Linked DNA regions of Tamandua tetradactyla. The protein of the gene in region 2 interacts with the protein of the main gene of each other region in a pairwise test. Links are inferred from orthologs where the notes say so. Each region holds a gene or a part of one and is shown on either strand. Other genes may lie near its edges.

Region 1 (10,841 bases), on a different chromosome or scaffold from region 2:
TGCCTATGGTTTCCAGGGGGTACCCTCTTCCTCCCTGGACTAGGCACTCAGTACCTTCCTTCCAGACCATCTTTGGAGAGTCTGCCTGATGGAAAGCTTCTCCTTAATACAAATGGTAGATCCTGTTTATTGAGCACTTGCTCTAAACACCAATGCTCTAAGTGTACTGACTCACTTAACCTTCAATTCAACACTACGAAGAATGTTCTATGATTACCCCATTTCATGGATAATAAGGGAACTGAGGCCTCAGACGTGGTATAGCATTGTGGTTCCAGTGCAGACTCTCTGAAACCAAACTGCCTGGCTGTGCATCTTGATGCCATCACTTCCTAGCTGATGTGGCCTTGGGCAATTTACTTCATCTCTTAGGACTCCAGTTTTCTAATCTTAAAAATGGAGATAATGATAGTAGGCTAAGGATTGAATGAGATAAGAACAATTACTGCCCTCAATTACTGAGACTTCTGAGAGCCAGCACTTTGCTGAACCTGCTACCTTATTTAATTCTCTCCTAGCTTCCTGAGATAAGAATTATTGTCCTTATTTTACAGAGGAGGTTCCAGGAGGCTCAGCAGTTTGTTGACTCAGCTAGTAATCATGCAGCTGACACTTGAATTCAGGTCTATTTAACTTGTCTTCTCTTAGGCCCTGCTCAGTTGTCTTGGTTTCCCAGACTTGGCTGTTGCCCAGAGCAGCCCCATAGTGACCAGAACCCTGAGGTCAGGTCTTACACGTGTTTTTTTTTTTCATGCCTGTATAACTGTGTTGAAACCGGACCCAGTACCCTTCATGGTCCAGAGGGCTGGGTCCATGGCCCCTACACTCCCTACTCCTGGACCTGGGTCTCAGTCTTCCTATTTGTGACCCGGAGACCAGAGCGTTCAAGGGCAAATCCCTCCTCCTGAGGTTCTTCCCAGAAGCATAGGTAGGGTAGTGCCTGGTTGGTCCCAGCAGGTACCCACTCCATGAAGAATGGAGGGCCAGGTAGGCTAGGTCCCAGCCTAGAAGCCCACCATTAACATCCCATTTCACTGTTTACGGGGAACTCTTTCACCCACTCTCTAGAGTGATGTTTCTCCAAGTTAGGTCTGGAAGCCCCTTGCATCAGAATAATCATCCAGGAATCTGTGCTTTAAACACACTCTCTGGATCATTTCAAACCAACACTTAAGAAACCAAGACTTCAGAACCCTAGATCTTCACCAGCTCCTGGGAGGGAGACACTTTTACTCCACCCCTTTTACAGATGTGAAGACTAACACCGACTTCCCCCAAGGGAAAAGAATATGACCACCCGCACAGAGAGCCAAGGAGGCTTTCTCAAAGATGCCTGTTGAAGACCCAAGTCTTCAGGTCTCTGGGTTGGGCTGGGCTGGGTCTTATTCTACCAGTCTTCATTCATTCAAGGTTGATGTGGCCAATCGTGAGACTTTCCACTACTCCCTTAATAAAGACCAGTATCTTTTGCATTGGTAGCAAGGCCCCACCACTATCTAGCCCCATTTAACTCACCTCTCCCTCCTCTTTCCCCCGGCTCACTAGGCTCCACCCATACAGTCCCCTTTTCTTTTCCTTAAAGATCTAAATTCTTTCTACCTCAGAGTCTTGGCATCAGCAGTTCCCTCTGCCAGAACCACTATCTTCCCACCCGGACTCTGATCTAGCTGCCTCTTTCATTTGGTTCTCAGCTCCCTGACACCTCCACAAAAAGGGCTTTCTTTCCTCAGTGCCAATCACTCTCTGTATCCTTCTAATTTCCTCTAAGGTACTCATCTGGATAACATTCCTTGTAAGCTTACCAGGTACCATTCTGAGCATTTTATGTGTACTACCCAAATTAAGCCATGCAAACTGCCTAGAAATGAAACAATTTTATTTCCCCTATTCTATAGATACTGAGACACATGGAGGTAAAGGAACTCTAGTGCATGGTCATAGTTAATATTCAAAGCCAGGTGTTTACCAGATCCTTGCTTTGCTAGCATTTACACATTTTACAGCTTGCTTGATAATTCTCTGTTTCTAGCACCAGAGTCCAGGCTGGTGAAGAGCAGGAGCCTTAATTGTCCTGGACTCTGGTGCTACTCCTAGAACCAGGCTGGGCACTCTAAAACAAACTGAATGTGCCAACTCTGAGATGGAATACGAACCCAGCTCTGTAGCCCCCGCCTTTCTCATAGTACTAGTTTAAGGAGCTTGTGAGGCTGCTGGTCAGCAACCAATTATTAACTGACTTCTCTGTCTTTCCAAGTTCACAAGGTCTGAATGTCACTTCAGTAGCTTGCAGTGGGCTTATTATTCTGGTGATGGAGCCTTGTCTCAGTGTCATTACTACTTTGGGGGGAAAGAAAGTTCTGTTGCCTGAATAGGCTCTAAACACTAGGGATGCAGAGACTTAATTCTCAGAGAGCTTAGGCTAGGACCCTGGGGGTCAGAGTGAGAAAGGAGCCATTTTTTGTCCTCTCAGCACCTCTAAACAAACAGCACCACCCAGGCCTCACAGCTGTGAGAGATCTGGTGAGTTGGCAGATGGGGAACTGTGCACGATAACCAACCATCCTCTAGGCCTCCAACCTGGTCAGTTCTCACCTTCATCCCAGCCTATCATTCCAGCCTAATTGAAAGGCAGCATTCCCTACCAGCCAGGGCTCCCTTCTCATACTTCCCCACCTCAATGCACCTCCACATGCGTTTCCTCTGCTTTGGGAGCCCTTGCTTGTCTTATCCCAAGGGAAAACATTTGCATTCTTCAAAAATCCCCTTCACCACTGTCCTCAGGCATAGTTCACGGGCACTGGAGGTAGGGGTCCCACTGCACTTTGGGGCTCCTTTCTCCATCGTAAAATGAGTTTGAAGGGCATTAGGAACACAAGTCACACTGAGGAGAGGCCGAGAGCAGCAGAAACGGTCTCTAACTCAACGGCCCTCACTCTGCGACAGCCTACGTGTCGGCGCTTTCGCCAAACTGGGAGTCCCCGCAGGGCAGGGCCCTCAGCTGACTCATTTCAGAATAAGACCTCGGAAAAAGTGGCCTCAGAGATCGTGACAAGAGGAATGAACGATGAGTGAGGAAAATGAACAAATGAATGGACGGAAGGCCGGACGCGGGACAAAGACCTGCAAAATGGTGCTCTCTAGGACCGCGGGAGGGGCGGCCAGGGGCTCGGCCGGGGAGGGGGACCGCAGGTACCCGGACGCCGCTGGGCGGGCCGCAAGACGGGGACAAAAGCCCGCAACATGGCAGGCTCTAGGACCCCTGGGCCTACGCCGTGCAAGGCCGGCAGCCGTGCGGGCCGAGTCCGGGTGTCCGCGGGCGCAGGTCCGTAGTGGCAGCCGGCGGGCTCTAGGACCCACTAGGCCTGGTGCCCTCCCGCGCCTGCCTGAGGCCACTCTCCTCCCGCCCCGCGCGCGCTGCCCGAGCCGGGCCGGCCCCGTCCACCCTCCGTGCCCATAGGGAAACTGAGGCTCGCTCGGATCACGTTCACGCCGAGGCCGCCCGGGCATCTGCCAGCTCCCTGCCGTCATTTCCTACCTGAACTGACTCAGACTGGCTCCGCGGCGTCGGCTTCGGCTCCTTGCACTGACGGAGCCCGGGACACTGCCAAGGAAGGGCTGGCGCTAGGACCCAGCGCGGGGGCGGGGGGGAGGGGGAGGCGGGGCCGGCGGACCGGCAAGCGGAAGTAGAGGGGAGTTTTCCCGGCAAGGAAGGAAGGAAAGGTTTACAGGAGCACCCCTAACCGCTGATGGCCGGGAACCATCTTCAATGGGGTCTCTGTAGGAACTGAGGGCAGGAGACGCCGGACAGGTTTACGATATACACCGGGCTATTGTTCGCTTGGGGTCGGGTCACCAGAAATGTCTCCGAGAACTAGAAGGGCCGTGCTCAAGCTTTATAATACCTAAATCCGCTTATATGCCACAACGTTTCCTTTAATAGCAGGGATTGAATTTAATGAGGCTTCCTCCATCGGTCTTGGGAAGTGTCTTCCAGGGAGCCTCAGGAAAAGTGTCGCTAAGGTATTGAAGCCAGGGGCTGCAGAACTCTTTTTTTCCCTCTTCTGCACTTGTCCAATATACACCGGGACGATTTTAGCGCCTTGCGCCGGAAGTGTGGCTAAGGTTAGTGCAGAAGAACGGAAACGCCGTGACCTGCATGGGCGGGACCGGAGTCGTACTTGTCTATTTCTCCTCTAGGGCCGGAAATGTGTCTGTGTAGAACGGCTGATTGGAGGCGGGGCAGGAAGTGTTCCTGAGGCGGGAGTGGGGGTGGGGCGCGGGTTTGCGGGGAAGCTTTTGCGGTTCGGACACTTCCTGTTTCCTAGTAACAATAGGAAGTGTTCGAGGAGCTGCGGGATAGACTCGCAGCTCGCGTCAGCTGCGCCCTTTTTCTCCTACCCTCTTCTTTCTCACGCCCTTCTCTTTCTTTCCCTCCCCTCCCACCTCCTGGGGGAGCCCTAACTGAGCGTGCGTGCGCGGGAGCGCGAGACCCCCCACCGCCAACCCTTAGGGCGCGCGGCAGCAGTTAGGGTGAGGGTCCCAGTGCGCAGGCGCTCTCCCGTTCGCGGTCCCACTACCCGCCGCCCGCAGTCCCCAACGGGCGCGCCCGCGGCGGGAACGAGAAAGGGCCGTCTGTGTGAGGTAGGGGGCCTGAGAGGAAATTGGCAGTGGAGAAGAGTGAGGGGAGAGAGGACTGTTGAGCACAGGGGCTTTGTGAGGTGAGACTTCGGGGAGCAAGTTTACTGAGGGGCTTTAGAGTCGGAGATAGGAGTGGGATTAGGGTCCCCTGAGAGTGAAGAGTCAGATTTGGAGGAGGACGAGGTGAGGTAGGAAGCGGGAAGGGCTGCTGTGGAGAGAGCAGAGGCTTTGCAATGAAGACTGCTCATCTTGGGTAACAGGCATTACTGAGTGTTTGAGAATTAATTGACACAGTGAATATGCCTTGCTTAGCACAGTGTCTGGCACATGGTAAAATTCATGAGTTGCTGTCATCATCGTCGGTGTTGAGAGGAGAGAGAGAAAAAAGGGATGGTGTGGAGGCATAGGAAAGAAAATGATGTAGGGGATAATGAACAATCTGAAATGGGATGGAATTTTCCAAGATGGCAGATAGTTTAGGTTCAGGGGGAAAAGGTAAAGGAAGTGGCCAATAGAGACTTTTAGGAAGTAGACCTTGTGACACTGAAAGGAATAGGAAGGTTGGGGACCAAGCCAGCCCTCTCTCTGAAACAAGGCTCTTAAGCTATCCTCTCAAGCCTTCAGGTGTCTCCTAGACAAAGAGGCTGTTTTTTTCATTGCCTCTAGACTCTATCAATAGATAACGCTCTTTAACTGAGGGGTGAAGGAAGAAAGATTGGATTTCTCTTATTGAAAGGCCCAGAAAGGGTTCTCGTTTCCTTTTAAAAAGTGTTTTGATTGTGGTAACATATAAAACAAATTTCTCATTTTATCCATTTTTAAGTGTATAATTCAGTAGTATTAATTACTTCACAGTGCTATGCTCCCACCCTGGTTACCTTGTAAGATATTAGGGGAGATATGTTTTGTTTTCCCCAGAATTATATAGAGCAGAAATTTAGGGATAGTAAGACCTTTTTGATCTGGTCTGAAGAACAGGATCAATAGGTCTGTAATCAGAGAGGTAGGTCTTATCCCTCTCACCTATAGTTTATCTAAAATTTGAGGGAGTAGTTAGGCCTAAGGGAGCTCACACATTTGGGGAACTTGTATGCAGGGAGGTCTTGAATAATGTTGCCTCTACATTAGATCCAGAAAGCAGGTCTCTGGACATTGATGCTTAGTGAGCTTCTCTAACCCCTGAACTTGTTGCTCATAGAGCCAAGAGGCAGAGTTAATTTGTGCCTATCTTATTACTGCTCCTTCTTCCTAGGCATTGGCCCCTCCATCAGAGAAACATGCTGTTGCCACCTGCCTTTGCTTGCTGAACCTTCAGATTTCTACTGTGCTGCCCCATGGAGGACTCACCTGCTTCATTCAGCTGCTCTGACTGTCAGCGCCACTTTCCCAGCCTCCCAGAACTGGCGCGGCACCGAGAACTGCTCCATCCATCTCCCATCCAGGACAGTGAAGAGGCTGATAGTATCCCCCGACCCTACCGCTGTCAGCAGTGTGGGCGGGGCTACCGCCACCCAGGGAGCCTGGTCAACCACCGCCGGACCCACGAGACTGGCCTTTTCCCCTGTACCACCTGTGGGAAGGACTTCACCAATCCCATGGCTCTCAAGAGCCACATGCGGACTCATGTGCCTGAGGGCCGCCGTAGGCACAGGCCCCCACGTCCCAAGGAAGTCACCCCTGTTTTCCAGGGTGAGATGGTGTCCACTGACTCCTGGGGCCAGAGGCTTAGCCCAAGGGAAGGCTGGGAAAGCCAGACAAGGCATACCCAAGAGATACCTGCCTCTGAGTCTGGGCCTGACCCCAGGGCAACCCTGGGTACTTGGGCAAATCCATCTGCCAGACCAAGGGATGAATGGGAAAGCCAGCCAGATCCTCAGGAGGGCACAGAGGGCTGGGGACCCACCGCCAACTCTGCCAGAGTGCCACCTCTCCCCACCCCAGCAAGCAGTCTCCTTAGCAATTTGGAACAGTATTTGGCTGAATCAGTTGTGAACTTCACAGGGGGCCAGGAGCCCACCCAGTCCCCTCCTGCTGAGGAGGAACGGCGGTACAAGTGCAGCCAGTGTGGCAAAACCTATAAGCATGCTGGGAGCCTCACCAACCACCGCCAGAGCCATACCCTGGGCATCTATCCTTGTGCCATCTGCTTCAAGGAGTTTTCTAATCTCATGGCTCTGAAGAACCATTCCCGGCTCCATGCCCAATATCGGCCTTACCATTGTCCCCACTGTCCCCGCGCCTTCCGGCTCCCCCGGGAGCTGCTGGAACATCAACAGACCCATGAGGGTGAAAGGCAAGAGCGGCCATGGAAAGTGAAGGGGATGCCTCCCACCAACGGGCACACAGAGGAAAGCAGCCAGGACCAGGTCCCTCATACAGAAATGGTGAATGGTACTGGGGAGCTTAGTACTTCAGGGGAGCTAGAGGACAGTAGCCTAGAGGAGTATCGACCTTTTCGCTGTGGGGACTGTGGCCGCACTTACCGCCATGCTGGGAGCCTCATCAACCATCGCAAGAGCCACCAGACAGGTGTTTACCCTTGCTCCATCTGCTCTAAGCAGCTGTTCAATGCTGCTGCCCTCAAAAACCATGTACGGGCTCATCACAGACCCCGGCAAGGGACCAGGGAGGATGGGCAGCCATCAGTCCCACCAGCTCCCCTGCATCTGGGTGAGACTACTGCCAGAGTGAAAGAGGTCCCTGTCACCACCCTGGAGGACCATCGCCCCTACAAGTGCAGTGAATGTGGTCGGGCTTACCGCCACCGGGGGAGCCTGGTGAACCATCGGCACAGCCATCGGACAGGAGAGTACCAGTGCTCACTGTGTCCTCGCAAGTACCCAAATCTCATGGCCTTGCGTAATCACGTGCGAGTGCACTGCAAGGCTGCACGCCATAGTGTGGGCCAGGGTGCAGACTGTTCCCTCAGCCCCCTCAAGGTGGAGCTTCCACCTGACCTGGTGGGAGCAGAGGCAGCCCCACATACAGATCAGGGGCATGGATGCAAACATGAAGAGGAGGCCACCAGTATCCCCCCGGCAGCAGATGGGACAGCACCACAGATCTGTAGTGTCTGTGGGATGCTCTTTGAGGACCCTGAGAGCCTGGAACATCATAGCTGGACCCATGGGACAGGGGAAGGGGAAAAGAGCAGGGCAGAGACCAGGATGTCACCTCCTCGGGCATTTGCCTGTCGAGACTGTGGAAAGAGCTACCGCCACTCAGGCAGCCTTATCAACCACAGGCAGACCCACCAGACAGGGGACTTCCATTGTGGGGCCTGTGCCAAGCACTTCCACACCATGGCTGCCATGAAAAACCATTTGCGACGTCACATTCGACGGAGGAGCAGGCGGCATCGGAGGCGGGCAGGAAGTGCTGGCAGTGGGGGCGGAACCAAACTCCCGTCAGAGGGGTACTGGGCCCAGGAATTGGTGGATGACCACAAGGACCCAGACTTTTCTCAAGATCCTTCAGGTGAAAGACCCATTGAGACTGAAGGCAATTTGGAAAGTGATGGGGATTGTTTGCAGGTTGAATCAGAGGGGGACAAATGTGGACTTGAAAGGAATGAGGCCCGTTTCCAGGGTGATAAACAGAGCAGAGGCACTGAGGAAGGACTGGAAAGAAAGGCCTGTTTCCTTGACAACTTGGACATCCCAGGGGATGAGAGAGGCGGTGGAGCCACCTTCTGCCGTGGCCTCACTGGGATAGATGAAGATGAGAAACCAGCCACTGGCCAACCCACATCCCCTTCCCACTGTCCTGAAGCTGTTAGCAGCTGGGAGGCTGAGGCCTCCCACACATGTTCTGATTGTGGACATTCTTTCCCCCATGCCACCAGCCTGCTGAGCCACAGACCCTGCCACCCACCAGGCATCTATCAGTGCTCTCTCTGCCCAAAAGAGTTTGATTCTCTGCCCGCTCTGCGCAGCCACTTCCAGAACCATGGGCCTGGGGAGGCGGCCTCAGCACAACCTTTTCTCTGCTGCCTCTGTGGCATGATCTTCACTGGCCGGGCTGGGTACAAGCTTCACCAGCGTCAGGCTCACAACTCCTCTGGTATGACTGAGGGCTGGGAGGAAGAGGGGGAAGAGGAAGGCACAGTGGAAACAGCCTCTTCCCATAGCCCTCAGCTGCAGCTCTCGGAAGCAGAGCTGCTGAATCAGCTGCAGCGGGAGGTGGAGGCTTTAGATGGAGCCGGCTACGGGCACATCTGTGGTTGTTGTGGCCAGACCTATGATGACCTGGGAAGCCTGGAGCGTCACCACCAAAGTCTGGGTGGTGGTTCTGGGCACACCATGGACAACTCTTCTTGTCGCTTAAGAGAAACAGTTGAGGCTGTGGAGATGGTTGCAGATGATACCTATGAGGACACATTGGCTTCTGTCTCTGAGGAGTGTGCAGATACAAAGTCTGGAGAGGGAGTAAGTGCCACCATTGCAGGTGGCCTTTGCATGCAGGGTAGTGAAAGTTCCCCGGAGGCCCAGCCCCGCCCTTTCCGCTGCAACCAGTGTGGCAAGACCTATCGCCATGGTGGCAGCCTGGTGAATCACCGCAAGATCCACCAGACTGGAGACTTTGTCTGCCCTGTCTGCTCCCGCTGCTACCCTAACCTGGCTGCATACCGTAATCATCTACGAAACCATCCCCGTTGTAAAGGCTCTGAGCCCCAGGTGGGACTCAACCAGGATGCTGGAGGTAGCAGTGAGCTCCAGAATGTGATGGAAGGACTGGGACAGGCAGAAGTGGAGACATTCCAGGAAGAACTTAAAGCCGAGCCCCCAGAGGAAGTGGCAAGGGTGAAAGAGGAGGCATGGGAGGAGACAACTGTGAAGGGGGAGGATATGGAGCTGAGGTTGGAGACAGCAGAGAAGGGCTGCCAGACCGAGGCCAGCTCTGAACGTCCCTTCAGCTGTGAGGTATGTGGCCGCTCATACAAGCATGCTGGAAGCCTCATCAACCACCGGCAGAGCCACCAGACTGGCCACTTTGGCTGCCAGGCCTGCTCCAAGGGCTTCTCAAATCTCATGTCCCTCAAGAACCACCGGCGCATCCACGCAGATCCCCGACGTTTCCGCTGTGCTGAGTGTGGAAAGGCCTTCCGCTTGCGGAAGCAACTGGCCAGCCACCAGCGGGTCCATGTTGAGCGGCGTGGGAGTGGGAGCACCCGAAAGCTGACTCGGGAAGATCGGCCCTTCCGTTGTGGGCAGTGCGGACGTACCTATCGCCATGCTGGGAGCCTCCTGAACCATCGGCGCAGCCATGAGACAGGTCAGTATAGCTGCCCTGCCTGCCCCAAGACCTATTCAAACCGTATGGCACTAAAGGATCACCAGAGGCTGCACTCAGAGACCCGCCGCCGGCGGGCAGGGCGGTCTCGGCGGGCAGCTATGCGCTGTGCCCTCTGTGGCCGGGGCTTCCCTGGCCGGGGATCTCTGGAGCGGCACCTTCGGGAGCATGAGGAGGAGGCCAAACAAAAGCTAGTTAGTGGCCAGAGAGGCCCACCTGGCACAGAGAGCAGTGAAGGGAACCTGACTGATGCCCAGGCACTGGTGGGCAGATCTGGCAGTGAGTCAGAACCCCACTTGGAGGATGGAGCCACGAAGCCAGGGGAGCACAGTCAGAGTCTTTACAGGGCAGCAGGTTCAGAAGCTGCAGGGCCTCTGTCCTGGGATGAGGGGAAGGCTCATGGGTGGCAGGCAGACAGGGAACCAGTGAATCACGATGAAACTTGGGTTCCTCTGGGAGAGGTACTAACCAAGACAGAAGAGGAACCAAGGGACAGGGTCCCCAGGAGCCCTTGCCATCTTGCTGACAGCCAACATGATCACCCTATCCTGAGTCAGGTAGATTGCCGGGACAATGGAGACAGCAGCTGTCAGCTGCAATCAGAGAGCTGCCCCTTTTCCAGCAGTCAGGTCAACAAGACCTGCCCATCGGGCAACCTCTTAAACCACCATGACACCCATAAGACAGATTACCACCACTGTCTGCTCTGCACCAAGGAATTCTTAAACCCTGTGGCTACCAGGAGCCATGGCCGCAACCACATAGCCCCTCAGACCTCTGCCAGCCCCGACCGTGGCAACGCTTTTCAGTCCCACTATGAAGCAGCCAGCTACCTGCGGACTCATGCCAGGGATCTCAATCAGGCACCACTCCAGACTGAGGAGTTCAGGGGTCCTAGAGCTGAGACTCTG
Region 2 (10,841 bases):
CATTAGCAATTATAGTACAGTACACTATTACTTTTCAAATCTCTGCAGTAAGTTTTTCATCATTAATGGTTTATTTATTTATTTATTTTTCCAGGCAGACCTTATCATTTGCATGATTTCAGTATGATTTCAAAACAGCCCAGCCATTCTAATTTTCTTTTATATCCATTGAAATATGCATTCCTGATGGCCAAATCTATTCCCCAAACACAACCATAAGGTATAATCTAATTCAATAGGAGTTAAATGATTAGCAGTGCAGTTGAATTGCTGTGCTTAGTCCATAGGGAGCCAAACTGAGTTCCAGGTTTCTATATAAACAATAAATTAAAAAGACAGCCCAGAATCCTTGACTAATTTATCAAAGTGTAATTAAAATTCTTTTGTCTGACTCACCGGCCCTTACAGTAGGAAGATAATTCCTTGTGCACTATTATGTATTGCAATAGGACAATCGCTTCCCTAAACTATATTCACACAAACATAAGTGGGTTTGTAACGTACCTGAAATAATACATATCATCATCACAGATCTTGTTTGGTTTTACTTTTTCATCTGTAACTCTGCAAGCAAACTTTGAACATATTTTTAAGTAGAGGGACCCAGGTAGGCTGAATTAAATTGGGTGACTAACTATCTTGGTTTACCCAGGACTTTTAATTTAAAAACTGGGACAATGCCAGGCCATTTTAGTCACCCTAAACCAGGGCGAAATACGGTGGAGTGAAGACAGCTTTGGGGAAACATCTTTTAAATACTGTGTTCCTGCTCTTTCAGAATTTTCTAAATTTCTCCTCTTCCTCCAATCCCAATGTAGGGCTACTTAATGCTCATCTTTTCCCTGAATCCAGTACCAGAACTGTCAAGGGCAAGTAAGAGGCTTGAGCTCTGTGCCAGATGGTCTGGATTAGAATCCAGGCTCTGCCATTCTTTAGGTGGGTGATATTGTGCCTCAGTTTTCTCAACTATAAATGGAAATAGTAATACCCACCCTGTAGGGTTACATGAACTGTGCCTCTCGTACATTAAGCTTTAAAGAAATTGTTTATTTTTATTGTGAGCTTGATTATGATTCGCAACTTAGAGCAAGAGGAACTTGCTTCCTCTATCAGTCTTCCCAGGGGTGGCTTTCATTACCCCCAAAGCTCAGCTAGTTGGTTTTTTCCTCCCTGTTTAAGATATACCCATAAAGTGACAAAGGAAACTTCAAATTTAGGACTCTTCCAGGGAATGTAGCATTAGTGGAATGCAAAAGTAGATGATAAAATTACCCTAGTTCTTTTGAGGCTAATTAGGCTTTTAGTGCAATTCTACAGACTATTATTTTTAATAGTATTATGGTAAAGCTGCTTTATTGAATGTCTCATTCAATTATTTGACATTCCATCAAGGAAGGCATGTTAATATTTATTCTTAATCATGAGCACTGGGTGCAAAATAGAAGAGCATATTGGAGTTTAATATGCCACAGCTTGGTTGGGCTATGGTAGCACTTTGCTTCTATGAAAACTGTTCCAAGGGGATAATGTTGAAATGCAGCTTGTGGGTTGACTATGAAATTCCAGAGTATGAACACCATTTCTTTAGACTTGTATTGTTCTGTTAACAACTAACTTCCAAGGCAGAGAGCTCAGTCCACAATGAGTAGTCCATTCCACATTGATGGACTACTTTTCTAATGAGCAGAAAGTAGACTTGTACCTGATTTTTCATCTTGTAATTTAGCCAAATAAGACTACTATAGGACACCTAGTAAAAATGTTATGATAAAATTTGTTTTTGTTGGAATGTAATTGTAGTGCCCTGATTTATTATATACAATTATTTCCAGAATTTGCCAATTACAATGCTAAAGGTGTTTAAGAAAATATTGGAATTGCTTAAATGCTGAGATGGAACCCAGATCCTTAAGATCTAAATGACCTGTCAAGAATATATAAAATGTAAAACATACTTAAAATATTAATTTTGAATTCAAGAATCAAAAGACAAGCCTTGAATTCTGGATTTTGCATTTAATATTATCAAATATTTAAGGGAAATTTAATTTTTTTCATAATGTAGGCTATTCCTAACTGACTATATTCAATTATAAAGAAAATTTTATTTTTTTCATAATGTAGGCTAATCATAACTGAATATATTCCATAATACCTTGAATACGTTTTAAAACATAAGCCAGTTGTAATAGTCATATCTTCTCAGCCATTAATTTTTTTTGTGGTTATTACAACAGATTGTTGAATCTCAGTATTGGATTCATCGTGGAATTTATTTTATATTACAAGGTATTCCACTTAAAATGAAAGTGTAATGTAGATAAATCCTGTAATTGTGTGTGAATATGGTAGCTTAAATAATGGCAATATTCACACATTCTACTTTTAAAATCTCAGTTCTCTTGCAAATACCTGAATATTTTTGGTTGTATTATTATTATTGTTTTATTTTGGAACAATGTTTTTGTCTCTATTTTTCTTTGTATCTATAGCAGGCTTTCTACAAATGAGGAATAATCTTCTCCATTCTGTGCTTCTTAGGGTAACCCTTATTTAAACCTCACATGAACCTTAAAAACCAGATATTGCTTAGGACTTGTCTAATTGATACCCTCTGTACATCCCTTTGTGATATATTTTTAGAGATAAACTCATGGTTGCATGGACCCCTTTAATATATCTATAGAAAAAAATCATTTTGTTTTAAATATTTTAACCATGGAATTAAAGAATTCCTGTAGGTTAAATAAGATACAACTTTGGCCTTTTGTCTGAGAGAAGGAAAATATCACAGTAGCACTTTTAAAATAGACTCATTAATGCAAACTAAGTACTTCTGCTTGGTTTACTTTTAACTAAAACAATAATAATTCAGAACTGTTTTTACTGCTGTCAGTAATTGTAAGTTTTTCATGTTTTGTTCATTACAAATAAAAATGTTTTGGAAATATCCGCTTTATTTATTATATTCTGAAATAAATGCATTTTCCACAATATCTGTGTTGAAAAGCAGAAAAATTGAGTGTCATGCATCTGTACTGAAAGAGAATTAGATCATAATCTGCATGGGACAGTATTTAGGATTGTATATCCTTTGTCATTTACGCTTCTAATTACAAACATATTTTAAACTGAAAAATTTTGTGAAAATACTATTGACTATTTTTCTTTCTTTCTCTCTGTTTTGTTTTCTTTTTTGTTCAGTTGCAAATTCAAAAGCAAAAGTGAGCAAGGTTTTTGAGGTTCATATTTATGTCCTGGGCTAAGTTCAGATTCCAGTGAATGGCTCTGGATTACAATTCAATGTTATTTATTATTATTATTATCTACTTTGTTTTCGTGTTAAGGAATGGCCAAGTAAAACATTAAGGAGGATAACTTCGGGTGCCCCAAAGAGAGTAACTACAGGGCCAGAAAAGATGCTATAGAATTGGATGAGTTGGTTAAAATTTAGGTAAATATTAGGAACTTAGGTTAGATATTAGATAAATGTTTGGGGATTCTAAACATGTGTTTCCATGATGGGAGAGTTACATTTGGACAAAGGTCCTAATTGTCATCCTTTTAGGAAATATTGAGCTGGTAAGGGTGGGGATGGAGTGGGTGGAGGTGGGGTGACAGACTGTATATGTTGTACAGTTTACATCAGGCCTTCTAGACTTTCCTTCCTTTCACTGTATGATTTTTTCCTTCAGAGTTTGTGTCAGGTTTCTCCCTTGCCACAGAAGTGGAAAGATATGGTCCTAATGGCTTGGTTGTCAAAGAAATAATGTTTTGAAGGATACAGCTCAATTTCTCGATGAACTTTTTGGAGCTCGGCGATGATTTTTAAGCCCCACATTTTCAGCAACTGGCAGTGAACGATTCCATAGATACTGGCTCAAGTGGGAGAGAGTGGAGAAGCAGAGTGGCCTTCTGGGGCCCAACTGCCTTTTGGCCATTGCCCTAAGATGATTTCATTAATCTGAGTTTGGACGGGGCGGAAAGGCAGGTAAGTGCGGAGCGGCAATGCTAGTGGATCAAGAATCAAACACAGACCCTCCATCCTCAAAGGCACCTGAGTTAAAAAGAAATCCCTTCCAGGTACCTACTCGCTCTCATCTCTTAAGTGACAAGTTTCTTTTCAAGCGTTAGCCACCTGTGTGAGGCGCTCCTAGTGGGAAGGGTGGCTCGGGGGAAGCTAGTAATCAACCACACAGCTCCGGAGCCTTTCTGGGTGAGCAGGCGGTCAAAACGCCTCCAGAAGTCGGAGCCCTTAGAATGCGGAGTCCGCGCTGCCCTCGCGTGTCTACAGGAATTTAGCCCAATGCCCTCAACACTGGCATGCTTTGGCACCGGCTGACGCCTCCCGTTTGCCCGGGGTCCTCCGCGTTCTCTCTTCCCCACCTCCCCACCCCCCAAAGGAGTGCTCCAGCCTCCCTCCGCCTGCACAGCACCCAGCGCGCCCCAGAGGTTTATCTGGCTCTCCACACGCACCGCCGGTTTCCTTTGGCGCCGGACGCCAGCGACCCGTGTAGACCAGCCGCTGCCTCGGAGCTCCACGTTTCAGTCCCGTTCTCCCTCTTCCCTGCCGCCGAGCCTCGCGGCTCTTTCCCCGGCGCCGCGGCGCCCACTCTGTTTCAGGCTTAATCCCGGGTTGGACCTGCTGTTTTGCTCATCCCCACGCTCAGCCTCCCAGTAAACCCAGAGAAGTACGGTCTGCACACTGAAACTCTCGGTGGCTGGAGCCGGCGGACTGGGCATGCTCAGAAGCCAGGGCTGGCTTTGGTCTCAAGTAGGAAGCTTTTGCACTCGGGAGGCAGCGGCGACTTTGGGGAAAGTTGATCGAAGAGGGGAGGAAGCCCCAAGACGCGGAGCAGCGGCAGGAAGGAGTCCCCGGCTGCCCGGAGGAGCATGGGCACCCTGCGAGATTTACAGTACGCGCTCCAGGAGAAGATCGAGGAGCTGAGGCAGCGGGATGCTCTCATCGACGAGCTGGAGCTGGAGTTGGATCAGAAGGACGAACTGATCCAGAAGCTGCAGAACGAGCTGGACAAGTACCGCTCGGTGATCCGGCCGGCCACCCAGCAGGCGCAGAAGCAGAGCGCGAGCACCTTGCAGGGTGAGCCGCGCACCAAGCGGCAGGCGATCTCCGCGGAGCCCACCGCCTTCGACATCCAGGATCTCAGCCATGTGACCCTGCCCTTCTACCCCAAGAGCCCACAGTAAGCGGGGGTTACGCTCCGGGTCGGTGTGGCGCCCTGTCGGTGGGGGAGCTGCGGGTCTCCGTAATGTCTGTCGGCCCCCGCCCCTCCCGCTTGCGGTGTCTGTCCTCATCCTCTGAAATGTTTCATTTTAATGGGCACTTCTTGCGGGGCCATGCACATTTCTCAGAGCCAGACTTACTGCACATACGTTGCTTTCGTGTCTTTGTCAGATATCAAAGTATTTATTAAAAAAATATATATATGCACATATACATTCTTATATGCCACCTACTGTACATGGAGTTTGAACGCGCCCCAGGTGTGTGTCCGTGCGTGTGTGTATTGTATGCGAGTGAATGTGAGAGGAGGAATAAAACGCCCCGTCTCCCAAATGCCTTGGCAAACCTGCCCATCCGGAAAAGCCTAAATGCAGGCTCATCAGACTTGAAATGAAATGCGTCTGTTACCATCATTACTTTCTATGCTTTTCTGGCTCCCTCGGATTTCTCTACATGGTGGCGATTCACGCTGGCACCCTTCAAACCTGATGTTCTGCCCTCATCAAAGTGTTTTTTAAAAAGCAAATACGCATATACAAGGGGGTGATTTCTTGATTTCCTGAATTGGATGACATTTACAATCCATAAATGGAAACCTAGTCTGTTCATTTAAAATTTTTTTCCTAGCATCTGAGACAATATTGCCTGTTTTCCTTTGCATAATGTTACTAATGGAACGCCTCCATCCCCCACGAGGGTTGCATGTTTTCTAGGGTCAAATATAGATAGGAACACACCTTTATTTTGGATGTGGGCACAGTTTGCCTTGGTTCTAGCCGTTAGTGTGATCACCCTGGTATTATTCTAGCATTTTAGAGAACTGTGTAGTTTTGATGTCAGTGAGCTTCACATAACTTGGCTGGGAAAATTGAATGAAACTTGTTATACAACACTCAACTCAGAATCCATATTGAGAGTAAAGCAGCGGGAGTATAAGGTTAACCTAAAATGAAGGAAAGTGCACGAATGAATGCTATTTTTAATTACCAGATAATGACATTAAAAAGTGAAAGATTTTTCTACTTTATGCTAACTGCATCACACTGTCTGGATGGCACGTGTTACATAATAATACAAGGTCCCTTGGAACCCTTCACATCATAAACACAGAGAGTTAATATAAGAAGAAAGAATATATATTTTATTAGCCCCCAATTGTATTTATTGGATTTTTTGGAGGTCGTGAGAATGTAATAATTGCACTTCTGAAAACTTAGAGTTGTACCTTTGCATGTTGGTTCCCGTGGAGCATTTGCTGTTCCCTGTGCAGCCCCGGGGTAAGGAGGAGTTTGTATTCTTGAGGGACTGGAGAAAGGGTAGTAAGGATCAAACCTTTCTGAGATTTGGACCTGCACAAATTGGCCTTAATAGTTCACCAGACTTACATCTGCCTAAAAAACCTGAGTGGTGTGAAGCCACTTCAGCTTTCTCTGGTAAATTAATTTGCAGTCCTGACATGCTTGCCTGTTTTTGCTAACGAGGTGCATGGCCATCTCTCCTGGGCCAAGTTTTGCATAATGAAAAAATAACTTGAAGACAGCTCTCTGCATCTTTAAGCATTCCATAGGATCTCATTTTAGTGTCTGCAGGACTTCGGAGCAGTGCAGAGCAAACTCTGCTTTTATAAAAAGATTATTTTAATAGGTTTTATAGTGAAGCCTGATAAGCCAGCTGATAACTCCAGTTAAATATGTTAAAGAACTTCTAGGCAAGTGGGGAACAAACTGTAGATTTTGGTAAATTTTAGAAGCTTCTTATTGCCTGACCTGTAGAACTAGATTTTAAAAAAGCCCATTGTGGAAAATGAAATTCGCGTGTAAAATAATTCACAATGTTCCATTATAGTAAAATTTGAGCTAATGAACATTCCTGTGCCGTTTGATATTTAATAACTTACGTTTTACAGGAGTCAGTTATAAAGATATTGCCATGATCATTTTGGTGATTCTGAAGGATTATATTGAAGAAAATGATAGAATGTCTTCCAAGCTTAAATAATTTTGGGAAAACATCTGTTCTTTTTTCACACTTACGTAAAGAAAACTAGAATAAAACTTGGCTGAAGTGGTAGGGTATATTTTTCTTAGGGGAAAGAGAAATATATTGTATGAAAAATGATTATATCTTATATCATTTGAATAGTCATGCACAAGAGTGCCACAAAGAATTAAGGAAACTTGCCAAACTGAAGATCTGTTTGCGTTTCAATTCATTTCACAATGCAAATTCAATTATATAGGTTTAACTGGCAACAGGTTAAATTTTTCACCTTTCTTAAACTTACTCATAGTTTGTTAATGTGAGTTCAAGCTAAAATGAAACTATCTAAATAGCCGAAAATTTGTTTCGAATTCATGTTCATGGTAGTTTTCTATTCTCTTTCCAGTAGATGTAGATAACTTCCCGGCAAGTTTTCTGCTCAATTATCGGAAATACTCATATGTATCAAATATGTTTGCCTAGTTTTTGCTTACTGAGGTTGCCTTCTGAGGATTAGTTTTTTTAAAAAAATTCTGGTTTTAGTGACTTCTGATCATTTCCAGGTAGTATAAAATGTAAATGCACTTACTGAATTAAATCTTCTTAATTGGTTTTGATTTGGAATTTTCCCTTTGAGCTTGGAATTGAGGGGAATGTCTGAGATTTTAGCACAGAGTCCGAGCCCTCCTGCTGTGCCCGTGAGGTGAGGACAGTGACTGTGTTTGTCTTTTCTACCACCTGTATAGAAGTACCCTTGAGTCCTTTTTGGATTATGAACGTGATGCAAAGGAAAGATGAAGCAAATTCAAATCCATATTCCACTGCTACCAAATAACCTAGTTGAGTATGTAAAACTACTAGACCATATGTTTTGAAATAAATTGAGCAAATAAACTTAAAAATTAAAAGAAAACATTCATCATATGAGATCAGTTGGCCTGTTGGTTATGTATTTAGAATCATTCTTTTGGATTTTATTAATTAATTTTATTCCATATCACATCATTCCTGAAAATTTACTCCGTAGTAGGTTACAATATTTACCCTATAGTATTTTGATCTAACTTCTTTACCCTTTGTAAATCGTTCCAAATCCTTTCCGTTTTGCGGACACAGGGTTCCATGTCATTTCAGTTGGACCATACAGCATTGACTTCCCATCAGCAGTTGTTAGTGTGTCTGAATTTTGTTAAGCTGTTGGTTTTACCCCAGAGGTAGCTGAATTTCAGAGAATGACGATATGTTTTGTTGTTTCACTTTTTGATTGTGAAGGACTTCGGAAGAGCTAAGGATGAAAAGAACTGTGTTTTGTTATTTTTAGGCGCCATCAATTTTAAAAAGATCTTATGTGGTCTTTCCTTTAAACTTTGACACTAGTACATCTCAACAGAACTAGTGTCTTCCTGAAGGCTGTAATCCAATTCTATAGAAAGCTGAGAGATTTCTAGAATTCCATTGTAATTGTAGGTGGCATAAAATTAAAACATAGACTTCTTCAAAGGTAGAAATTAGGTTCCAAATGTGTCCTCAGCTCGTTTCAGTACTTTTATAGGAGGACTGCCCTGTGGGAGCTCCCGTAAGATGTTAGACAGGTGAGCAATGCACTGTCAGAACCATCAAAGAGCTAACAAGGGGATAACAATAGTGCACGAGAATAAATATTCTGGAAAGTAGAATATGATAAATCACAGAGAAGATACCTGAGACAGTTGGCAAAATATGAGCAAGCACTTTAAATTTTATGGTGAAGGAAACTCTTGTGGAAGTGGAGTTATTTAAAGTATTTTAAGGATAGGTGAGAGGGGACCAGGTTAGGATAGGGGCAGGGTAGAGACATTCTAAGCCATCAACAGAGGGACAAAACCATGCACAAAAGCAGAAGGCGCTTCTGGGTGTGAGGGGACAACAGCAACTAGTGGCCATACTAGAATAAATGGCCACTAACAATGGCCACTAATGATTTCCAATTAGTGGAAATTGAGGAAAGCAAGTTAAGACGAGAGAGACTGAGAATCTCAGTTTTTGTGATTTTATAAATCAGGAGGGAGGGCATTTCTGCTAGTTTTTAAAATAAACAAGAATCCTTTTAGCTTTTTATTGTTTATTTATTTTTTAATTTCGAGGACTAATTCTTCTGCATTAAGGAAGCTCTGAATCTCAGAATGTTTGTCCAACCCTCTACCCACCCCTTTCCCACCAGCACAGTCCTGATACCAGGCATAACTGCCCACCTAAGGAAGAGTATTTGATTGAAGCAGGCAGCAGATGATTAAAAGTCTTGAAGAGACCGAAGTCCACTCTTAAAGAAACCAGGTTCCTTTTCCCACTCATTTCAAAATGTGCACATAGAAAGTAACCTAGTCTTATGCCACAGTCTGGCATCACAGATTCCTTGCATACCAGGGCAAACTGGACGTAGATGAGAATTGAACCTGACGTTGGCTTTTGAAATTCATCTTTCCTGTTTTCGTGGCGGCATTAAATCCCAGCCTAATGTTATTCTAATAGCCTCTCCGATTTAAGTTTGGTCAATAATTTGACATCACAGTCTATGAAGTAAACTTGAAGTCATGAAACCTTTATAAAAATGTATGAGAACAGGTTGCTAAAATCCTGTTAGGGTGTTTTTGAAGCACAGTTGAGTTGTCTAACCCTGAAATGGGGTTTATAATGAAAATACTGACAAATGCTTCAATAGAGTCACTGTAAAGAATGCCTGAGAATGTAAATGACTGGGTTCCCTGCTCTACTGAGCCACATTTCCATGCTTCCACTACTTCTTGTTATTTCACTAAAGAGTTGGGTTGGATTTCCTAATGGGGAAGGGGAGAAGAAGGCAGGCAATGTTTCGGTTGTTGCTGAGTGCAGTTTATGAGGCATATGGGCACATTTTTTAATTCTGTCTGCCTAGCAATGGAGGGTCTCCATGGTATCCTAGCAACCAGATTTGAACACCAGGCTGCTGCTCTTTCTGCCATCTCTCCCCTAGGTGCTGCTGCCCATCCCAGGGAACTGGGCCTGCTGCTAGCATCCTGGACTCTCTGACTTGAACCTTCTGATCTCAGAGAAGGCAAGACAATGCGCTAAATAAGCACATGCTGAAAGCAGCATTTACCAGTCCACTCAACAGCTTATTATGCAATCACATCTGTGGCATTTTGAATCCTAATCTGAATTGTTGAGCTGGTGCTGCTTGCCACCCCTTCCCTGGCAGCCGTTCTCTCCTTGCTCACACCCACCCTTCTGATACCAGTTCTACTTTCCCCTTACCGTCTTCTATAATGACTATGTTCCTTGGCATCTCCTTAAAATTTATTTTCTGAGAAGTTAAATATGTGCAGCCTGTTTGAGCTCTCTAAGTCTAATTTTGTTTGTAAGAGCTGAGGAATGTCCTCCTTCCAAAAACTGTCAAGTAAATATAAACAATAGGGCAAAAATTGCAGCTACACAGATGTTCAACTAAAGGTGGGACTAATAGCACAGTCTCAAAAATGTCTTGTTTCTGAACGGATTTTATAATCATAGTTATTAATATGAGAAAAGCATGAGAGTAGGGTGAGAAGAAGAGATGTGTGTCATAGGGACAGAAAAGGGCAAAACAAGTAGTCTTGTTAAA
Region 3 (10,841 bases), on a different chromosome or scaffold from region 2:
AAACATCTATTTCGTCAAGGAGGTCTGGTTCCTTTTATTAGAAAATGGTATTTATAAGCCAAGATGTTGGAATTAAGCGTGCTTATAGCTACTGGGGTATTATTGCTTCCAGGCCCTCTCAGTAGAAATAGCTAGAATATAGGTGTATGTTTATATGCACTCACACATGTATGTATGCATATAAACATAAATACATGTGTGCATACATCTGTATCTATATATCTATCATCTAGTTTGCCTATTAGCTATCTATCTAGTTCACTCCAATACCTAAAATCCCGACTACAGCACTATATAGTTTATCCTATCCCTCTACCTTTTCCATATTTGTAACTTCCTTCAACAGTAAGTAATTTGGTTCTCATGATCCACACCATATTTACCAATTTTCTTATTCCTAGAATGTATAGAAAGTATTTTCAGAATTGTTAACCCATATATTTGTGGAAAAAAGAGACATCTATTCAAAATTTGTTTATAGTTCTGTTTCACTTTAATCTGAGGGCATCTAGTCCAAAGGCTATGTACAAAAGTCACTGGGCTTCATTCTTTTTTCCCCTCCTTCTGTCCACAGACTTTTAAACATCCCCTCTCTGTTTCCTCCATATCTCCTTTCTGTCCTTGTCATATCTGGCTTTTCAAGTCCGGAACTCTCAGAGGCATCAGGAAGATGAGTTCCTTTCTTGGCTAGAGTCTCTCTCTGTGTGTCATCTCGTGCTAGGCTGAGGCCTCCTTCTCCTGCTTCATTGGGCACCACTCCTCTATCCTCTTGCCAGCTTCTAGAAATGTGTTCACTTATGGCTTCCTCCTGTTCACATTGTGGCTAAGGATTGATTCCTTTTTAAAGAGTCCTTTGCTATCATTTTAATGGTATTATAGGAGGGAGAGGAGATAGCATGTGTTTCCAGTCTACTGTCTTGACCAGACACCTAGGGACCCTTGAGTGAGAAAGATCTGGGTTTGCAAACTGTGAAGGCACTGGTGAGATCCTTGACCATTCCAGGTCTTAGTTTCTGTATCTTTGTCATAAGGATGAGGAGCTCTACATTTCACGGACTTGATGAGGACTGAACGAGACCATATAGGTAAAGTGGCCAGCACAATGCCTGGTACCATGTTTAGTAAATGATAGCTATCATCATTGTCCAGATGCAATTCCTGCTGATTTGGTCATTTATTTATTCACATACTCATCTAGGGCCTACTGAGTGCTGGGCACATCCAGAGTTCTTGAGTTTAAAAGGAGCAGGGAAGTCAAAACTCCAGTGAGGTCATCCCAGCAATCAATCCCAGAGTTGGTAATGTTCTTGGCAAGAAGCTGCTTCCCTTACTTGGCTTCCCTTTGTCCCAGGATATGCTTTTTGCCTGAGGCTTTTAGACTTTTCCCCTGCCTTGGGTCAAATGGCCTGTGGGGAGCCTCCTCGAGCTGTGTGGCAGTGTGCCTCTGCTGGCCCACTGCTTTATGCTGAGGACACATGACTGTCTCTGATGGGAATGAATGATGAGCTGGAGATTTTGGTACAGTGAGGACAAATCCCTGTGTGGCTCCAGGAATGAAGATAAATATAGCCCGAGTAATTGCTCATGCTCTTTTAAGGATTAAAAGTCAGCTTTCAGGCAAGCTGTGAAGCTCAGTGACTAGGACAGCAAAGGGGCAGTTCCTTTTATAGAAGAACTGTGCATTGCATGGTCCCAGGCCTCCACAATACTATTCCTATGGGAGTAATGAGGTCGCCTTGCTAGTCTACACACCATGAGGGCAGGGACAGATCTGAGGCTAGGTCTCAGGTGTTCCTAACATGTCCCATCATCCAACACTTGATAAATACTTTTTGAATGAATGAATGAACGAACTATGAGAAGGTTGTATTTTAAAATGATCTTTAGCATAAGAGCTGTAGACTAGTTAGCCGTAATGTACCAATATCAATTTTCTGCTTTTGATATTGTATGTCAGCTATATATCACCATTGGGGGAAGCTGGGTGAAGAGTACATTGGAGTCTTTGTACTATTTTTGCACCTTCCTGTGAGTCTGAAATTATTTCAAAATACAAATTTCAAAGAAAAACCTTTGGTCAGGCTCATACCAACACTCTTTGATAGTTGATGAATTGATCACATCTTAACAAACAGCATTGCTTTTGTCTTATTATTTTAAAATGTCAACACATGATTCATTCATGTTGTTCAAATTTTCAAACATATAAATAAAGCATACATGGATAGTCTGTCTCCCAGTAATTTAGTTCCTGTTTCCCTCCCCATAGGAAACATGTTAATGTTATTCATTTCTTGTGCTAATTTTAGTGAGACTGTATACACACACAAATGTATCTGATAGCATGTATGTATGAATATATTTGTCTGTGTACATATATATATATTTATTTTTTCACCCAAATAGTGACATTTGATACCGTGTTCTGTTATCTTACTTTTTTCATTTGACAACATATCTTGCAGGCTTTTCATATCAGGGTATGAAGAACTTCCTCATTTTTTGTTATGCCTATACACCATCCTCTTTTATGGCTCCCCACTGATGGACATCAATGCTTTTACAAATAATGCTGCAATGAATAATCTTGTTCATTTGTCATTTCTCAAGTGTGAGAATGTGTCTGTATAATAAATTCCTAGAAGTAGAATTGAGTTAAAAGTTATGAGCCTTACAATCTTGATGGAGCTCAACTTCCTCTACAGAGCTTGTTCCATTTTGGACACCCACCAGCAATGTGTTTTATGAAATGCTGGTGTTAGAGCAGTGATTAAAAACAATCATTTGGTGACACTTTTGTAAGTCTGGCCCTCTATCCAAGAAAAACACAAACCACACAGTCACACATTTTCAGGTGACTCAGAGATCCCTGAAGGCTATCCATGAAATCCTGCTTAAGAAATCCCTACTGAAGGGGAGGAAGTGTAGTCAAAGAGAAAGCTTTAAGGCCAAACACACCTAAGTTCACATTTTAGCTGCACTACTTACCGACTGTGGAGCATCAGACAAATCATTTATCTCTTCAAGCTTCAATTTCTTTTTTGAAGGAAAGGTATAATTCAGTTTCATAGGGTACTTATGAGGATACATGCATGCTTTTATGTAAAGCATGTAACAGTGCTTGGAATACAGTAAAGCATATAACATAGTGCTTGGAATGGTTTTTGTGTGTGTGTGTGTGTGTGTGTATACACACAAATAATTTTTCAGTATAAGTTATGTCCCATATAACATTTGGGGCATACTTATACTGAAAAAATTATGTGTTCTATATCTGTAATTCAAATTTAAGTAGGGTCTTGTATTTTATCTGGCAATCTTACCATGCCTGCTCTGTGTTGCTTCTAACCCCAGAAGGGGGATGGAACCCCCATGTGACTTGCTTTAAGCCTGGAGGACCATGATCTTGACCTCAGATAGGGCACTGCACCTGAGTTGGTGAGGAGCGAGTAGGGACTAGCAGGGTGTAAACTGGCGGGAGGATTTGCCCTTTCTCAACTGTAACTTGTCAGGGGCAAGAAGCAAATTCATGCTGATCCAGCATTTAGGAGATGCTGGCATTATCTCATTTAATCTTTCTAAAGACCCTATGAGTTAGGTGTTATTATTATGAGTCCCACTTCATAGATGTGGATATTGAGGCTTTGTGATGCGAAGACCACAGGGCTGTCAAGTGGAGGAGCAGGGATTGCAGCTGGTGCCAGGGCTAGGTTTAGACTAATCTTCTAGGCACTTCTCTGCAGTACTTCCAAGGCTTTAAGGTGGGAGTAGCATCTGTTCCCAGGTCCCTGGGACAGGAAATGTTCCCAGATTCTTCTGGCTCTGGGCCAGGGTCCTGTCCAGGCTCCCGGACTTGCTGCAGACTCATGAGTGGGAGGCGGATCTGCAGCATCTCCTTTGTCCCCGCCTGGCCAGAGACAGTGCCCGTGGCACAAGCTGCCTGTGGGCACTGCCATCTGCCATGTGGGGTGGGGGTCATGGGAGGGGCCCAGGGCAGGGTGCTGCCTCACAGGCCCAGGTTGACCTGAGCCCTGAGGTTGCCAGGTCAGCTACCCCACCTTTAACCCCCAGAACCCGGTCAGGGGGGCTCCCCGAGCAGCTTGCGCCTCTAAGTCCCAGCCCCTCTCCAAGGAGGCGGGTGGCCGAGGCACAGCAGCCAGAGGCTTCTCTGCTCTGAGCTCCGGAGCCAGATGTAACATTGACCTTAAATGGTAAAAGCTCCCCAGAGTGAAGAGAGGCTGGCCAGAGGAGGAAAGGGGAATAACTCAGTTTTAGGTAAGTAGCCGCTATATCTGAGAATAATTTGCCTCTTCGTCGGGGAAGCGGAGGGAAACTTTCTCCTCCTTAAAGGTACAGGGTGCTGGGACGGGGGCGCTTAACTTTTATCTTTACAGGGGAGTTGACTTTGTTATGTGGTATTTAGGTTGGAGTATTTTTATTATAGCTGTTTTAATTTTTAAATAAGAAGTGAATCTTGTCAGTTCTAATTTAGTTAAAGTATGCTCCTTTTGCTTGCTGTTGGAAAGCATGCACAGGTCAGGGTGGAAAATGTTGCTTATGATTGGAAATTCCTAACCCCAGCTTTTCTGTGGGACCTTTTGGGGAATAGAGGGGTCCTCTGAATCTACTAGCCTGCTAGGCAGGGCTGGTTTCCCACCACCTACTACCCCTCTCCCAGCCCTACTCTGTGCTTCCATCTGACCCCCTGCCTCGAACCTTGTCCCAGCCCATCCCTTTCTCCATCCTTGACCTTGCCTCTGTTTCTGCACTGTCCTGCCTGTCCTGTGTTCTGTTAGCAGCCCCTGCTTTCATCTCTGTCTCTCTCTTTGCTTCTGTCTTCAGTTTCTCCCAAGTCTGTGCCCCAAGCTGTGCTCACCTCTAGAGGCTCTGTGTCGCAGCTATTCCTAGAGCGAGCTGCGCTTAGACTGACTTTCTCCAAAGGAAAGGCCAGTGGAAGCCCGCAGAGAGGCACCAGCTGCCTTTCTTCCTGCTGTCCAGTTAACAATTGTAAAAGCCCAGAGAGACTGTGAAGTTGAGTAAACAGCAGTGTGGAATCTGGGGCCCCTGGCCAGTGCTCCAGCTTCCTAGAGCTCAGCAGCCACTGCTCTCTTATCACTCTTCAGGCTGTTCACTGGGGTATCAGGGCAAGTAAAAGCAGCCCAAGGGCTTGTCTGAATTGGTCTCCTGCAGGTAAAGGAAGAAACTTCCTAGGACCATTAGGCTTGAGTAACAGTATGGAACCAATACTGCTAAGGATTATGTTGCCTCTACCAGAGTAGACAAGAAGTTCCTTGATCTTTATGACACACTAGTAAGGCAGGTTGAGTTTTACCTACCAGCCCTCCCCCCACTTTTGAGGGGTTAAGTGACTTCTTAAGGTCATATCACTAAGAAGAAGCAGAGGTAGAATCTGAACCCAGGTATGATTCTAACTTCAGTGCTCCCGCAAGTATAAGTGTGCATTCCCGCCTTGAGTAGTGTCTTGTGATTTTTGATGTAACGGACAATACAGTTGTCATGTTTGTTTGGTCCATAGTTCAGTGATGTGTGTAGGGGGTGGGGGGTGGTCTGTCCTGGGGGTGGCTGTTTGCATTCAGAGCAGATGTACCTTCCTCTATGCATGGTAATAAGTGGGGCATACACTGAAAGAGAAATTTCTTGCACATTTACCCTCTAAGATCATCTGGGAGATATTAGTATGCACTAATTCCTACAACATGATCAATTATCTCTATAAACATGTTTTCTGGGAATAAAAACCAAGCACTTAGATAGTTCTTACAATGTATTGGATACTATTCTAAGCACTTCATATATGGTAGCTCATTTACCACTCCCACAACCACACAAAGTTCGATTCATATCATCATTCTGGTCTTGTGGCTGAGACATTTTAGCACACAGAGGTCATGTGGCAGTGAGGTGGAGCAGGTGTTTGACTCCAGGCAGCCCATCTCAGGAAGCTCTGCTCTTAATCCCCATGTTGCACTGATCTCCATTTGGTGCCATTTCTGGGAGGGCAGTGGGGGTGGCACTGTGGACCCGAGGCTTTTAATGTATGCTCTCATGTGCTCCTTACAGCAATCCTAAGGGATGTATCTTTACCCCAATTTTACAGGTGTGGACACTGAAAACCAGGAACTTTAAATGACTTGTCTAAAGTCACCCAGCCAGACAGAGCAGGGGTTAAGTAGTATTTTGGGTGAGGACAATGAGGTACATTCTCCTTGAAACTGAATTTCCATGGGACCCAGTGGACTTAGTCATGCAGGGAGGAGGGATTCGCTGTGAGAAGAATCCAGGTTCTTGTCTGGTGAGTGGAATTATACATAGCAGGGATCTCAGCTTCTCAATAAGTCCCCACCTCTTTCCTCTAAGCCTTGGTAATGAAGGTGGATGGATGTACCCCACACCTCCAGTAGGAGTGTAACTGAGCCCTGTGTGGGCAGAGACCCCATCTTTCTCCCCACTGTTTGTCCTGTGCCCAATGTGATGCTGGGAGTATACTGCATGCTCAGGATCAATTTTGGTTTTGGATGACTACATGAACATAGAGCTCAAAGTATGTTCTGATTAAAAGGGGCTCTGGATTTATTATGTGTATGTGCCTGAGAAGCATATTTTTTCAGTCTGCCTTGAGAGGATGCGCGGTATGGATCTCAAGTTATCCACACTGTGCCATTCCTGCCCTCACCATCCCACCCTGTCACCCATCCTGGGTAGCCCCAAAGGGCCATGTGGCTGCCTGTCAGTCAGCCTTTCTATGTCTTGACTGTCAGTAAAAGGATTCTATGTGCTGACCCAGGAGAAACAGAGGCCCAAGCACATTGGGAGGAGATCTAGGAACTCCAGGCTCTATTCCTGTCTGTTATTTGAATCAGGGGGAGGGAGATGGAGCCCTGAGTTCTTGTGTGGGAAATGTTAGAAGAAAGAAGAAAGAAAATTGTTACTGAGATCCTACTTTGTGCCAGGATTTGTGCTAGATAGGTTATTTGATTTAGTTCAACATGAGGACATCGCTTCTCAAAGAGATGAAGCAACATGCCCAGGGGCACACTGCTGGCCAGTGATGAGTGGGGATATCAGCTCTGGCCACGTTGCACCAAAGGTAATACTTACAGTGTTTGATAGACTGTGCTGTTAGTTAGTAACCCAAGTCCCAGGGGTAGTAATCGGTGTAACAGACTAAATGATGGGAAAATCTAGAAAAGAGGGAGAGTGGATATTGTGTTTGCCCCATGGATCTGAGTTCAGGCAGTGGACCTGGGCAGCCTCACTAGATGAGCTCTTCAGACACAGAGCCTTAGCAGAGGCACCACATGCCCATAACTTTGGACAATCCCTGCCTTCTTTGTAAGGGCCTTCTCCTTGGGAGAAGGGAAGCAGCTGTTGGTCAATCAGCCAGTCAGTCAATCAGTTTGTTAGAAAATCTTTCCTCCCATTTGACCCCAGATGTAAAAAATGGTTTGCTGAGGTTGGACTTAATCTGCTCTGGTTACTTTTTTCCTATTAATTTTTAATTCATAATTTTGATTCATTTTTTTCTGTTAATAAAAGTACGAATATGACTTGTAAAATATAGAATTCTGTATTTCATAAAAATACAACAAATAAGAAAAGACAAAAATAAATATAAAGAAATAAAAATCCCTCTATGATCCTATCACTCAGAGATAACTACTACTACTATTATGATTTGTTTTTTGCCTATCTTTATATTTCTCTGTATTTTATAAAACTAGGGTCTTACTGTATGTATAGTTTTGTAGTCTTCTTTTTAAAAATGAGCATTGTATCCTAATCATTGTTTCATATCATTAAATATGCTTCAAAACATGATTTTTCAATGTCTGCATGATATAGAATAATTTCAGCTGTGCAACAGTTGGATTGTTGTTCCTTCCTTCTTGGGCATTTACAAGTGTGGTCTTTCTTTGAGGACACGCTCAGAGGTACATACAAGGTGGTTCTTTCCATATATGTATGGCTTTTGGAAACAGCTCTCACAGGTGGGCTCATGAGGTGTTTCCCGAGGTCGGCTTGGTCTGCAAAATGATTTAAATTAGAAACTGATAGTCTGAAACATATGACATCACACTGTGAGAAAGTTATTGACCATTTAAATTCTTTTCAGTCTTTCTGATCAAGGAGAAAGCCTCCATCTGAGATAGGGTAACCAACTATGCCTGCTTGCCCAAGAATGAGGAGCACCTCAGGATTTCCAGTGCTAAAAAGAGAAAACAACCAGGCAAACTGGGAAGAGTTGGTCAGCCTCATTTGAGCCTAATGTTCCTCTTACATCTTTCTTACACTTGCTTTTCTTCCTTTTTTTTTTTTTTACAAAATGAGAGCAGGCCTTGGGCATGGAGCCTCTGGCAGGCAACAGCTAGAATTTAATAACTATTTTCATTTCATTTATTTTTACAATAACTCTCTGTGACAAATGGTACTGATTTTTCCATTACGATGGGGATTTAAAGTTTTCCTTTTAAATAAATGTAATAACAACAGTGACTAACACTTCTTGAGTATTCACTGTGTGCTAGGCGCTGTTCTAATGCTTTATCTGCAGGACCTCATTTGTCTTCATAGCAATCCTCTGAGCTAGGTACTATTATTATCCCTGTTATTATACAGATGAGAAAACTGAGCACAGAGAGGGTAAGGAACTTACCCAACAGCACAAAGCTAGTGAATGGCTGAGCTGGGATTTCAACCCTGGTTTTCTAGCCCATTGCTAGTCAAATTAAAGACTATTAAGGAAATAAAATTACAGGTGGCACACAGACACAGCAAAAATTGTGAGGGTGATGTGCACATGATTCAAGTTTAGGAAACACTACCTTGGTGGAAATCGGGGTTTTATGAGCAGAAATATCAGTGTTTGCAGGGTGCAAGGAGAGCACAATCATCTCAGCAAAATCAAGTAAAAGTTAGTAACCTGCAAGCTGGTGGGAGACACTGAGAGGAAAGAGACCATGCACTGCTCACAGCCTGACTGCAAAGGGGGATACAGTGTAGAGGGTAGGGCAGCTGTCCTGGGAAGGGACACACATTGCCCACAGAGAGTTCTTCCATTGACAGGAGAACCAGGGAGATGTTTCCAGAGAGCTCAAATTTCCTGGTTCGTCAGAAAATGAAGATAACCTGAAAACATCTTGACTTTGCACATATAGGTGAGATAAAAAAAAAACGCTAGGTCCTGAGTTGGGAGATGGATCAGTGTGGGCAGCTCTTCCCTCATTATTACTGAGGAGATGGAGCCTCATGCTAGAGGCAGCGCACTGCCCTGGGAGGAAGTGCAGGTGCTGGAGTGCCCATGTGCCTCTACCAATGACCAGCTATATAAACCTGAGCTACACTTAAACTCTGAGACCTGGTTTGCTCTCCTGTAAAATGGAGATTACGATAGTACCCACTTGGCATGATAAAATACCTTAGAACAGTATCTGTCCTTAGCTCCTAATAAACATTTGCTATTATTTTTATAACAAATCAGTCTGTCCTCTTCCAGGAGATATCTGCATTGAGTTTGAGGCTCTGACCAACTATAATTCTGGGTCCTATTTTCACCTCTATTAATGCCTCAAGAAGAGTGGCAGGCTTATTTTCTAGATGATTGACCCTGGTTACCTGGTGGGGTCTTTAAGGAGATCCAATAAATAACACCTCCTTCATTCACTTAACTTCTAAGCTTTGCTAAGAATTCAGTGTCTTATTCATGCTGATGACTGATAAAGCTGGTATTGGAGATTGTGATGTATATGATCGGCAAAGTAATCTTTCTCATATTGGATTAAGCAAGTAGATTTATGCTCCCAGCCCTACATAGTGCACTAGAGGGGAGGCAGTCCTTTTAAAATCTTGAACATGGAGGAACTGAGCAAAATGTGTGTTCCCTGCAGGCAGCTCATTCCTATAATCATGCTTGGAAAAGAAGCGTCATTGTCCTAACTACCTCAGGGTGGGCCTTACCTGAGCCTGGCTGCAAAGCTGGTCTCTCAGGTGGTGTGCACCTGGGGAGACTTGTGCCATGTCTAAGTGAGACAGAGGAAAAGCTGGGGCTGCCGTGAGGTACCATGAGGGTGAGCACTCCAGCTCCTGCCATTTCCACTTCTTGAAACCTCACTTTCCTGATCCTGAAATGCCTGGAGGAGATTTGTCCGATGCAGAGTCCTTCCTTGGGCAAGACAAGTGTCCAACTAGAAGTTTCTGATATCAAATTTTCCTCATAGCAGTAAGTCCCATTTAGGCAGCTCCAGACAGGCAGCAAATGATTTCTTAACCCCCTCCTTCTTCTGAGTTACTTTATACAGGTAGGCAAGAGAAGACTGGGGGAGGGAACTATCATCTTTTATGCATGTTCTTTGAACCACGCATTTTCTAAAGAATATCTCATTATGTCCATATTTTGCCCATTTAAGGGACACATTTATGAACAAACTGACTCAGTGAGGTTAGGTCACTAACCAGTAACTTCTATTTTAATGCAATTTTATAGAGATATATTATATATTCACATACCATATAATTATCCAAAGTGCACAATCAGTGGTTCACAGTATCATCATATAGCTACACATTCATTATCATAATAAATTTTTGAACATTTTCATTACTCCAAAAAAAATAAAAATAATAAAGGACACCCAAAATATCCCTCTTAGGCCCCTATTTTTTTTATTTGTTTGTCTTTTTTTTATTATCCCATAAATGATGGACATTTAATTACCATCATTGTTCGTGCTAGGCATTGCTAAGTTATACCCTTCTAGTCTTTTATTTTTTTAAATTTTTATTAATAAAATCAACATATAATATGAACATACATAGCGTATGAA

Evidence for each region.
Region 1: the proteins of PRKG1 (region 2) and ZNF646 interact in binary tests that used the Homo sapiens proteins (3 or more experiments, as listed by UniProt). The two-hybrid records come from large-scale screens. The link is inferred for Tamandua tetradactyla from reciprocal best matches to the Homo sapiens genes PRKG1 and ZNF646.
Region 3: the proteins of PRKG1 (region 2) and IRAG1 interact in a two-hybrid assay, tested with the Homo sapiens proteins (2 studies listed by BioGRID). The link is inferred for Tamandua tetradactyla from reciprocal best matches to the Homo sapiens genes PRKG1 and IRAG1.

Annotation. Positions count from the first base shown.
Region 1 is NC_135349.1:23,459,873-23,470,713, reverse strand, and holds the start of ZNF646 (zinc finger protein 646), read left to right. Parts: upstream 1-4,307; 5' UTR 4,308-4,718; intron 4,719-5,890; 5' UTR 5,891-5,972; coding exon 5,973-10,841. UniProt on the Homo sapiens protein: May be involved in transcriptional regulation.
Region 2 is NC_135339.1:45,950,112-45,960,952, reverse strand, and holds the start of PRKG1 (cGMP-dependent protein kinase 1), read left to right. Parts: upstream 1-4,499; 5' UTR 4,500-4,893; coding exon 4,894-5,204; intron 5,205-10,841. UniProt on the Homo sapiens protein: Serine/threonine protein kinase that acts as a key mediator of the nitric oxide (NO)/cGMP signaling pathway. GMP binding activates PRKG1, which phosphorylates serines and threonines on many cellular proteins.
Region 3 is NC_135334.1:85,484,156-85,494,996, reverse strand, and holds the start of IRAG1 (inositol 1,4,5-triphosphate receptor associated 1), read left to right. Parts: upstream 1-3,698; 5' UTR 3,699-4,208; coding exon 4,209-4,275; intron 4,276-10,841.